Linked DNA regions of Bombyx mori. The protein of the gene in region 2 binds, or shares a complex with, the protein of the main gene of each other region. Links are inferred from orthologs where the notes say so. Each region holds a gene or a part of one and is shown on either strand. Other genes may lie near its edges.

What was found.
Region 1: SAGA-associated factor 29 (region 2) and protein Dr1 share a complex: the UniProt entries of both Homo sapiens proteins name them as parts of the ADA2A-containing complex. The link is inferred for Bombyx mori from reciprocal best matches to the Homo sapiens genes SGF29 and DR1.
Region 3: SAGA-associated factor 29 (region 2) and transcriptional adapter 2A share a complex: the UniProt entries of both Homo sapiens proteins name them as parts of the ADA2A-containing complex. The link is inferred for Bombyx mori from reciprocal best matches to the Homo sapiens genes SGF29 and TADA2A.

What each region holds. Positions count from the first base shown.
Region 1 is NC_085110.1:7,486,944-7,491,059, reverse strand, and holds the start of protein Dr1, read right to left. Parts: upstream 2,891-4,116; 5' UTR 1,956-2,890; coding exon 1,715-1,955; intron 1,608-1,714; coding exon 1,444-1,607; intron 1-1,443. UniProt on the Homo sapiens protein: The association of the DR1/DRAP1 heterodimer with TBP results in a functional repression of both activated and basal transcription of class II genes.
Region 2 is NC_085125.1:4,972,588-4,976,838, reverse strand, and holds the start of SAGA-associated factor 29, read right to left. Parts: upstream 2,805-4,251; 5' UTR 2,766-2,804; coding exon 2,699-2,765; intron 2,638-2,698; exon of another isoform or gene 2,623-2,637; coding exon of another isoform or gene 2,595-2,622; exon of another isoform or gene 2,502-2,594; intron 1,957-2,501; coding exon 1,850-1,956; intron 1,442-1,849; coding exon 1,295-1,441; intron 793-1,294; coding exon 667-792; intron 194-666; coding exon 1-193. UniProt on the Homo sapiens protein: Chromatin reader component of some histone acetyltransferase (HAT) SAGA-type complexes like the TFTC-HAT, ATAC or STAGA complexes.
Region 3 is NC_085111.1:1,075,963-1,079,341, forward strand, and holds transcriptional adapter 2A, read left to right. Parts: upstream 1-1,429; 5' UTR 1,430-1,437; coding exon 1,438-2,736; 3' UTR 2,737-2,746; downstream 2,747-3,379. Other genes in the region: cysteine-rich protein 2-binding protein, read right to left, coding at 1,337-1,429, 3,339-3,379. UniProt on the Homo sapiens protein: Component of the ATAC complex, a complex with histone acetyltransferase activity on histones H3 and H4. Required for the function of some acidic activation domains, which activate transcription from a distant site. Binds double-stranded DNA.

The DNA.
Region 1 (4,116 bases), on a different chromosome or scaffold from region 2:
TTTAATTATAAATTGGGTATTTTTTAAAAGTGAATTTTTTTAGGCGCATTGAGAGTAATATTTAACTCACGATAGTTAGGCAGTTACTTCGTTACAGCTTGAGAGAAAAGATACAATTTAAGAGGAGCGAGAATGAGAAAATAGACAGATCGTCTCGCAAACCACTAGACCTTTGAGAGGGAGATAGTGAGCTAGGTCGTTTCTCACACATTCTGTTTACGAGCGTCGGCCACTAGATGGCAATAAGATAATGACGTATATTTTAATGGAGGATTTATAAGAAAAAATATTTTTTTTTATATATAATTTAAAACATATTGATGCTTGAAAGGCAAACATGACTAAGCGACAATAACTGCTTTGTACATAAATGATAGGCAATAACCATATTCGACTTGCAAAAAATATATATTTCTAGGTCTATTAAAATAATTTCAATCCTACAGCTACTAGCTAGATTCTACTACAGCTAGACTCATTAAAATAAATTTTGTTGTCAGGTATTTCAACTTTAAATTAGTCTACTGTAAAGTTCACGCATTGTCGCTTAGTCACATTTGCCTTTCAAGCGTCGATATATAAAAGGATAAGAGGTCATTTCTCGGAGAGAAATTTGATTTAATGATTAAAAATTAAGAAAACCACATGGACTAAGTTAAACCAGTCATAAAAGTTAAACCAGTATATACACAAACTATTTGCCATGAGATATAATTATATTAAAATAATATCTACAATTGGTTCTCATATTGACCATAAGTAATTATGAAAATGTGGTTTTATCATACTCTGTCTCCTGTTAACATATCTAACAAAATAAGATATCAAATACAGGGGCTTGCTCGATTCCATATTTTTTTATGAACACTTTTTTCCTACTTATTTTCCCAAAGCTTAAGAAATACAACATCTAGGTTATTACAAAGTGCTTACTCGAGTTTGTTCTATATGAACCTTGATTGAAGCCTCAATTGTATTGTTTAACAGCTTGTATTGCATGATTGCTGTTACACCTCAAAGGGTTAGGTTAATAAGTGTTCTCTAAAAGTTCCTGTACATTCCTGAGTAGAAAGGACTAAAGTATGAAGCTTAAGCTGACATTTAAATGGGGTGATTACTTTGAATTAAATTGAATCAAATTGGTTTTTTTTTGTATGGTCTATATAACAATCCCATCCTTATGTTGTTTAAATGACATTAGAGACCAATTTATTATTGACCAGTTTGTATGAAGATCAACAAATCCACATCTAATGTTTACATTAAATGAATTGAAACATAATTGCTCTATAATATAAATAGGGTTTATTACATATGTCGGATTAGTCTGATTGGTTTGGTAAGATTGTTACTTCATTTTTTTCATTTCAAAATCATGACCACAGACACATTTTTATTGAATTTCATAATGGTTAAGAAAATACTGATTTAAATTGTTTAAACCTTTGCAAACAGTTCTTGTTGTTGTCTCAATAATTCTTCTTCTGGAATGCCTAAATTCTCAAGGCGTGTGCTTTGTCGTCTTCTTTTAGCCGCCACTGCTTTACAATCTTTTAAGACAGCTTCTGCTTCTATTGTGTAGTCACTAAATCCTAATCTGTCTAGGGCTGAAAATTAGTTTGATACTGAAGCTTAAAGTTAAATTCGTAAAAAAAATATGTTCGTGTTCCTTATGATAATATTAATTGTCTTTTAACAATAGTGAAATATATACCTGTAAGGACATGTTCTGCATTAATTGTTTTCTTATTGCTTTGATTACATACTTCATTGGCTTCAGAACTAATCAAATGTATGAATTCAGTGCAGCAATTTAGGATTAACTCCCTTGACTCGAACGCTACACGAACAGAAGGCACTAACTCTTTTATCATTTTATTTATACTAGCTCTTGGTAGAGTCAGTTCGTCCTCTTCTGAAGGTGGTGGACAAAGTTCACGCTCTGGACTTCCCATGGTAACGAATTTATGAACGCCCACTTCTATTTTTTTGTGGTAGCCTTTGGGCCACTTTGGGCCATTAAGTGTATAATCTATGCTTTGGGCCACTTTGACTCTTTTTTTAAGAGATTTTATGACCTGGTAACTAAGACCTTTAAGTCATGTCTTATTTTACTTTATATTCTTAATTTTATGAAAAATGATAATATGGAGTGAAATGAAATGAAGATGATTAATTTGAGACATTAATCAACTGGGATGAAATTTAATGAAATTAAATGATATGGGATGAAATATAATCGCAGTAAAATGGTGGTCATTTACTGAGATTTTTTCAGTGGACTTTTTGGAGGAACCTGAGAAGTTACGTCCAGCAGCTTTGTTTCATTTTCCCACATTTGTGCACTTTCACAGATATTAAACAGTTAATAAACCACCATTATTACACATTTAAACCTGAAGAAACACTAAATAGACAAAATAAAACAAATCACACAACTTCACTCCTCGCGTTCCCGCCAAAAAGTCTTCACTTTTACTCTTTTTTTTAAGAGATTTTATGACCTGGTAACTGAGACCTTTAAGTCATGTCTTATTTTACTTTATATTCTTAATTTTATGAAAAATGATAATATGGAGTGAAATGAAATGAAGATGATTAATTTGAAACATTAATCAACTGGCATGAAATTTAATGAAATGAGATGATATGGGATGAAATATAATCGCAGTAAAATGGTGGTCATTTACTGAGATTTTTTCAGTGGATTTTTTGGACGAATCCGAGAAGTTACGTCCAGCAGCTTTGTTTCATTTTCCCACATTTGTGCACTTTCACAGATATTAAACAGTTAATAAACCACCGTTATTACACATTTAAACCTGAAGAAACACTAAATAGACAAAATAAAACAAATCACACAACTTCACTCCTCGCGTTCCCGCCAAAAAGTCCAACTTTGACTCTCAAATATAATATGCATAGATTATACACTTAATATATTTGATATACCGGTAAAATGGGGCGATTAGGGACAAATTCCAACTTTATGACCAATTTTAAGGTAGTTGTTGATGTATATAATGCTATATCAAGATCAAAATGATGGAGTCTTGGGGGCATCTTTGTTGTCCAATTTAAAACTATGCAACTAGCATTCCAGTTTAAGCAAAAAAAGCAAAAATAGGTGTAATCCCTATTTACCCGGAAATTGCGGTTAATTGGGACGAAATGAGAAATTTGCTAGGGTTGGCACTACTTGGTTTTAATTAATTAATTTATTTAGTTGCACCAACAAAGTGATCATCAATAAAAAACATTGAAAAACTGACAAAAGTACATGGCAGATGTCACCTCAATTATAGGTGCAATCGACAGTGCATTAACAATAAAAAAAATATAATATATAAAACTTGATTACATTTAATTATTTGTGATTAATTTATATTTACTTGGGAAAGTATCCGCGACAGTTTTTTCCTGTAAGTTGTGAAATAATTAGAAAAACATCTATTTCATCACTTAAAGTTAGTTCAGCGCAATCGGACAACTACGAATGAGCATTGACGGAGACCGCGCTACCGTGGACATTATTGTAGTCCCAAAGGATTCTGTTTAAGGGAGAGTAAGCGCCTAAACTCGAACGAGCGGGCTTTCTTATAAGCGGTTTATATTTCTTCATTCTTAGTAAGTACTTAGGGCCTGATATTTTTATCTGGGTTAAGAGATTAGGTGTGTCCGTTATTCCATAGATTAATCAGGTGGATACCCCCACTCTGGACAAATATTAATATATGTTATGATATATTACTTAGACATTTTTGTCCACCTTGAGATTTCATTGTTCTTGTTACATGTCTGTGCAAAATCGACTTACTTATATTAAATTGCTTAGCTATTTCAACTAAAGACTTATTCCCAATTTCGTAGGCTTCTATTGCTGTTTTTAATATTAAGGGATCATATCTCTTTATAAGGCTTTGCATTCTGATACGTACACGCGAGGCATATCTAAAAATAGAAAACAATACGTACCTAACTTATAATATAAATATTTACCAAACAATAAAATAACACATTGATAATTTTGAATAAAAGTTCTAGACAAAAACATCATGAATAAACTAGATTTTTACCAACAAATTTAAATAATATTGTTATAACTACATAGACAAC
Region 2 (4,251 bases):
AGACCCGCACGAGCGCGGCGACGGCGTCCCCGGGTCGAGCGACGTGCCCCGCGTCGGCCGGCACCGCTCCGCACAGCGGCGGCGCCCGCTCCCCCGCGCGCCCCACGTGCAGCGGCAACGTTTGCGCGGCACTCAGGAGCAGCTTCATCAGCGCCCCGCAACCGATCGTCTCCTTGTTACCCGCGTGACGAGCCTGCCGCAACGAAACGACTCTACGTTACAGATTCAAAACCAAACTTTTTTTATTTATTGAAGTGAATCTTCTTTAGAATCGTGATTTCAAAGTCGATGAAACGAAAAAATTAGTCCATAGAGACACAAACACATAAATGTATAGGATTAAGCCGGCGATAGAATGAGATAGAACACATTAGACGTTCTCGGTCTCCTCTTTGTGCGACTCTTCGTAGCATCCCCACTATCGTCTACTAAGCATTATCCATATGTATGCTCCTGTGTAGTGGGATAGTCAGTATATCTATATCTTATTTATAAGTTTAGCTTCTACCGTGTGTGACTTGCATACACACACTTTTTTTTATTGCCTTTGTACTTGTTGACTGTCGCTGCCTGCCACTGGCATATTATGCTGGTCCTAGCATGTGAACAGGCCTGTGAGATATTACAGGACCAAACCTATATTCATCAATAAATATGATTTGATACCTGAATTCGACGTTCATTTTTAATTGCACGTATTTCGTAAATCCTTGACAGTGCAGCTCTAAGTAGTCTTTCCTCTTGTTCGGCAGCTGTTAAGCCCGATTTATATAAACTTTTAAGCTGCGAAACCTGTTAAACAAAAATATTTTAATAACCATTAGCGGGAAAAAACAATCAACATTTCTTCATTAGATACAATGAGTAGTAGTAGTTCTTGTTTGTTGGGGTGGTGGTGGTGTCGATTAGCTTATGTAACATGGGATTGACTGTCAGCTGTCTGGGCCAATATTACAGAGCAATTTTAAGATGAGTATCTTCTAAGCTTTTCCCGAAAACCCACTGGAACATTTACTATTTTAATTACATACCTTATAGTATTATATTTTAAATAAAATTAATTATTTATTAATTAATTGATTTTCATGATATACAGATTTTGTATAATAAAGTGTAACCTAGTGAGAATAATTGAAAAACAATTTAAGAAGATGGACGCAACAAAAGTATTCAAGTTATTGAAGCTAAGTAGGTGATTATTATGTACTTTTATAAATTTTTAATTTCATGATTGAACTTTATTGCATTATATGAATGTATTGAACAATTTGAATGTTAAAAATCTTATAATCACTTGTTGGGAAGATCCTGATGAATCATCAGCACTCGAAGGAGATCCTGTAGATTTTTCAGCTCTAAGTATGGCATCTATGCACTGTTCATTGCGAGACCTCTCCGCTTCTATATCATAAATCAATCTGTGTAATGACCTCAATCTTTCCTGTGTACAAAAACAACATAATATTAGTTGGTTTTGTTAAAGGTACATTGAATACTATTGGCTGGTAACATCTTCTTTTTGGCTCCAATGGCCATCCATTTTACGAGCAATGTGCCCTGCCCACTGCCACTTCAATGTCGCAATCCTTTGGGATATGTTAGTTACCATGGTTATCCGGCAAGTCTCCTCATTTATGATTCGATCTTGCAGGGAAACTCCGAGCACAGCCCTCTCCATTGCTCTTTGGGTGACCTTGAGCCTTCTCATAAGGCCCATTGCTGGTTACATAGGTATTAATTATAAGAAAATAGTAATGCTCAATTGTTAATAGTTTCCTTACAATCTGTACGTCTATAAATGATGATATAAAATTAAGTAAATGATCACTTCACACTTGATCCTTCACACCTGTACTTGTTGTGCAGCAACGTCAGCTGTGAGAGGCATTATTTCACAATATTCGATAGTTTCCAACTCAAATATATAGTGTGGATCCAGCTGATACTCACTATTACCTGGAAAATCATGTAAAACTATGTTAGTGTCTATAGTACAGCAAATGAAGAGTATGAATCTTCAATTTTATTTAAAGCTTTCTTGGATGTTCTTTGCTTTATTCCATTAATAAAATGATATATGTATTTATATGTTAAAATAATTGTAAATGAATAGATGATCTGTGAACATGAAGAATGAACAATTCAGACATAAGCTTCAACATTTGAGGGGAAACATGACCATTGAGGGGAATCAATCTGTACAATTGCAAGACAAGATTTGTACAGAAACAGTAAACATTGAAATTCTCTGTGTGTGTTCTCTGTCTAGCAGGTAATTAGAACTTATCTTCCTTATTTTACTTTTTTCCATTGATTGGCTGTATTTATAGATAGCTTTTTGACACCAATGTAAAATAAAAAAGGACTCTGTGACTTGGAGAAGGCCTTTCACAAGGGGCAAAACAAGTTGCGAGATTTAATACAATAATGTACTTATTTCATTCCATTCACAGTAAGTAAATACATAAAAATATGTGTACAAGATAAAACGTATGTAGTACCATTAATTTAAGTTTATATTGTACACATCTAAGATAGCTAAATTTAAAATTTGTATATTGGTAATTTTAAGCAAATCGAATTCAAGTACAAACATGATAAAATAAACAATAAACATTCCATTTTGTTTTGTTTTTAACGCTATAAGGACGCAGATTTCAATAATGGTTATTTGTTGGTTTGTTACAAGTTGGTACACCGATATTGTATTGTGGAAATAGTTTTACCGAAATGATGATTTTGCACCAATTTGGTATAGTAACCATTAGTAAATTTAATAAAGTCAAAACTACAAAATAGAAAGCTCAATTATGCGAGAGCTGTTTTATTTTTATTACAGTGTAGGTACATACTATCGTGTATAATCTATGCTGTAAAGGCTGTTTGGGCTTAGATCCCCTTGCCTTTCCTAATAAGGAAAAATTGTACCAAAAAAAAAATCTATGCTATATTATTAGTGTACCTACCTATATAAGGGACTTTTCGCGGAAACGGGAGGAGTGAAGTTGTGTGATTTGTTTTATTTTGTCTGTTTAGTGTTTCTTCAGGTTTAAATGTGTAATAACGGTGGCTTATTAACTGTTTAATATCTGTGAAAGTGCACAAATGTGGGAAAATAAAACAAAGCCATTGGACGTAACTTTTCGAAATCCTTCAAAAAGTCCACTGAAAAAATCTCAATAAATGACCATCATTTTACTAAGATTATATTTCATCCCATATCATCTCATCTCATCTTGTTTCATTTAATTTCATCCCAGTTGATTAAGGTCTCAAATTAATCATCTTCATTTTATTTTATTTCACTCCATATTATCATTTTTCATAAAAATAAGAAATATAAATCAAAATAAGATGTGACTTAAAAGTCTTAGTTACCAGGTTATAAAATCCCGCGGATGCCTCACCTTCCGGCTGACGCAGATGTTGACCGGCCATGGGTGTTTTGGCCGGTACCTCTTCAAGATAGCCGGAAGGGAACCGACGGCGCAGTGCCACCACTGCGCGGACCGCGACGAGGAAGACACAGCGGAACATACATTGGCGCGTTGCTCTGGATTCGACGAGCAACGCGCCGCCCTCGTCGCGGTCATAGGAGAGGACCTCTCGCTGCCGCGCGTCGTGGCTACGATGCTCGGCAGCGACGCGTCCTGGAAGGCGATGCTCGACTTCTGCGAGTCCACCATCTCGCAGAAGGAGGCGGCGGAGCGAGAGAGGGAGAGCTCTTCCCTTTCCGCACCAATCCGTCGCCGTCGAGCCGGGGGCCGGAGGCGGGAATACGCCCGTACGTTCCGGCCCCTGTATGTAGCGGCCTCCCCCCGGTGAAGGTCAAGGGGCGACCTGAGGGGGTGAGGCCGCGCGGCGCGCTACCAGCACTCTAGCGCGCTGCCGTGGAGTAAATAGAGCGACCGGTCGACGGTGTATCGCGTCCCGACCCGGCAGGCTGGTTCTGGTCCAGCGGGGTATTCCGGGACACCAGCGGCACCGTCTGGGCGGCCCGACGGGCTGCCGTACCGAGACGGCCGACGTTTCAGAGCCTTCGATTCGCCTCGAAGGCTCCGTCGGCTGGGCGTCCTTGGGGTGAGCCACGCCGTCTGGTTGTAGTGTTGACCGCGGTAGCCCCCCTACCTCATCCGGGTTCTGACTTCGGAGGGGATCGGACGTGGGGGGAAAGAGTGCAGGGGAGTCGTTTAGTGGGTGGGTCCTAAAATCCTTGGGCCCGCGGTCTGCTCACAACACCATGCAGATCGT
Region 3 (3,379 bases), on a different chromosome or scaffold from region 2:
CCTGTTTTAATGAGTTTTCTGAATTGCAATTTGCTGCTTACAGCCGGATGCTTCTTCAACTTGTCTCTCATTTTAAGATAGTTCTCCTTACCTATAAGTACACACCTAAGAGTTAAGTATGAAGTCGTAACAGATATTTAGCAGTGATACATAGTAAACGTTGACAAAGACATAAGTACAGATATATGAAAAAGTAGGAATGATCCTTCTTCTCGAAAAAGAGAAAATCGACTGCCCATAAATATATTTTTTCGATATTCGCTTTTTTTTTATTTTCCGTGTAATGTCACCAGCACCGACTTTAAAATACTTTTTTAATATCGATGCTTTGATGTCAAATGGAATGGATCGGATTGAAATGAATTTGTTTATTAACTGATATTGTCATCAATTTGCGTTGTTTCAATAGATTTTTTGGAAGAACCCGAGACGTCACGTTCAGCAACTTTATTTCATTTTCCAATAATAATGGATTTTCACACATGATATGATGATAACCTGTTTGCAAATGCATTTTGATTTGCTAATGTCCTAGATGGATTGGCTATTATAATGATAAAAAGATCGATTTAAACAGAAATCAATCCCTGATCACCATCCCTACTCACCGAGATATGTAGTTATTTTGAATAAAGTTATGTATGTATGACAGGGCAAGAACAAAAAAGGTAAGATCTTTTTGGCGGAACCGCGAGGAGTGAAGTTGTGTGATTTGTTTGTTAGATTTAAATGTGTAATAACGTGGCTTATTAACTGTTTAGTATCTGTGAAAGTGCACAAATGTGGGAAAATGAAACAAAGGCACTGGACGTAACTTCTCGGGATCTTCCAAAAAGTCAATTGAAAAAGTCTTAGTAAATGACCACCATTTTACTGAGATTATATTTTATCCCATATTATCCAACCTCATTTCATTTCATGCCATGTTTCATTAATCAACTTCATTTAATTACACTTCATATTATCATTTTTCATATAAAATGAATTATAAAAGATTAGGCTGTATGGTATGATACCATTGACTTTTCAGTTGAAAAAATAAAACTACTACTATTATGTAGGAACCGTACTTACTTAAATATTGTATTTTCTAAACGTTTGCTGAAATAGTAATCCCTAACATTACATAGTTTAACCGGTTTTACTAAATAGAAAAAAATCACTATCTTCTATTGTAAACCAATAAACAACTGATCTGTGCGTGAAGTTCTATCGAAATGTAGGTGTTTAGTTCTTTTGTTTTTGAATTTTTGAAGTTTGTTCAATAGGTAAGTGATAGTTAGACTATTAGGTTTTGTTTGTAAATAAAATAAAGGTTTTTAAAGTACTACTTTATTTATCTGACAAGTCGAAGAAAGAGCGCGTGCCGGCATCCCTTGTATTCGATGTCGTAGTACTTCTCATAAAAGTCTTGTATAAGTTCTTCAACCTGAAATAATGTCCAGAGATATACTACAAACGAACTGCGATTTGTGTTCAGAAGTCGCACACGAGCCTTTTATCGAATGTTGCGAGTGCGAAAGCAATGTTTGCACTCCTTGTTTTTCATCCGGCAAGGAAACAGAAATGCATAAAAATGACCACAAATACGCGATAAGAAGAAATGATTTTCCATTATTCGGTAATTGCAATTGGTCTGCTAAAGAAGAGTGCAAATTGTTATCAGCACTTTCTACATACGGATTCGGAAATTGGGAAGAAATATCTAAGAATGTGCACACACGTTCTAAACTCGAATGTCAAGAGCATTATAGGAAATATTACATAGAGAATGTGCAGTATAAAGAATTGAGATTACTAAAGGAAACACAACAGTCACTTTTTCCAATGCCAATTACTCCATACTTGTACAATACAGATGTAAGCACTAATCCGCCTAGAAATAACAGTTCAGATCAACATTTAGCTGGTTACAATACATATAGATCTGAATTTGAATTCAGTTATGATCACAATGCTGAAAGCATATTTAATATTGAAGACAGTTACTCTGAAGATGATGATGAGGATGAGGATGAAATGGACATGATGGATTCTTTAAAGGTGTCTTTAGTGAATGCTCTTAATACAAGATTAAGAGAAAGACATAGAAGGTATAAAATTATACAGAATCATGGCTTAGTAATGCCAAATAAGCTTTTCTCATGGATCCAAAAGTTTGACCTCACTATAACACGACAGAAAGCAGAACGATTGCTTTGCTTCATGCAGTTCATGACAGGAATACAGTTTGACGCTTTCATGGAATCCATGAGCTTAGAGAACGAGCTGTTACAGAGAATTGGACATTTATGTGAATACCGTAAGAATGGTATAAAAACTCTTTATACTGCCAAACTTTATAAGCAACTTAAAAAAGAAAATGACATAATCATGAAAGAACAAAAGTATGCTACATGTGTTATGGCCAAGAAATTTGAAAATCAATCACCAGTGAAGACTATGTACACAAAAAACCACCAAGTGCTGCGTTACAAGCGTATGGCAATGCCCTTAGAAATAATTGACTTGCCAGGTTTCCACAGGCTGAGTGAGGCTGAACAAGTACTATGTTCTAATTTGAGGCTTGTACCAACAAACTACTTGGAAATAAAAGAGCATCTTATAGCTCAGAACAGTAAGCTTGGATTCCTACGACTTTTAGATGCAAGGAAAATTGTTAAAATAGATGTAAATAAGACTAGGAAAATTTATGATTATTTGTTATATGAAGGTTTTATAAGTAAACCATTGTGACTATGACAAATTGGTATCATTTAACACCACATATGCTATGCTGAATTGCAGATACACACACTTGTCAACTATTTATCAATCGAAAATTATTATGCAACAAAGTATTGTTAGCCTGTGTGTATTTCTACCACTAATGTGCCTATTTTAGTCTTAAAGTATTCATACTTTCAATATAACTTGAACAGTGTGAGAGCAGTGACATTACAATACTTTGGGATAGGTGAGTTGGGTGTGAGCTCAGAAGCCCAACTGCAGAAATGAAATATTCATAGTTCACGTTGTCTGTTTGTCTGTTCTTTGTGCACAAAATGTTACTTTTGGATTCATTATCAACAAATAATGTGGTAGTGTAAAATGCGATGAAAATAGTTAGATACATAGATACATTGGTAATATGAGGTATGAGGTCAAAATTTTAGTAGCTTTGAAATAGTAGACTAATCTATGCATCAGCATGTTTCTGGCGTGAAGCAGTTTTGTAAAACTCCAGATAAGTTTACATAATAATTACAATACATTGAGTGATATTCATAATGTATCATAATATGCTGATAATACATTGTACCATAATACCAGAGAAATAGGGTTTTCATGATACTCACTTTGAAGCCAAATTTTTGATATAAAAATATAGCTGGATTTG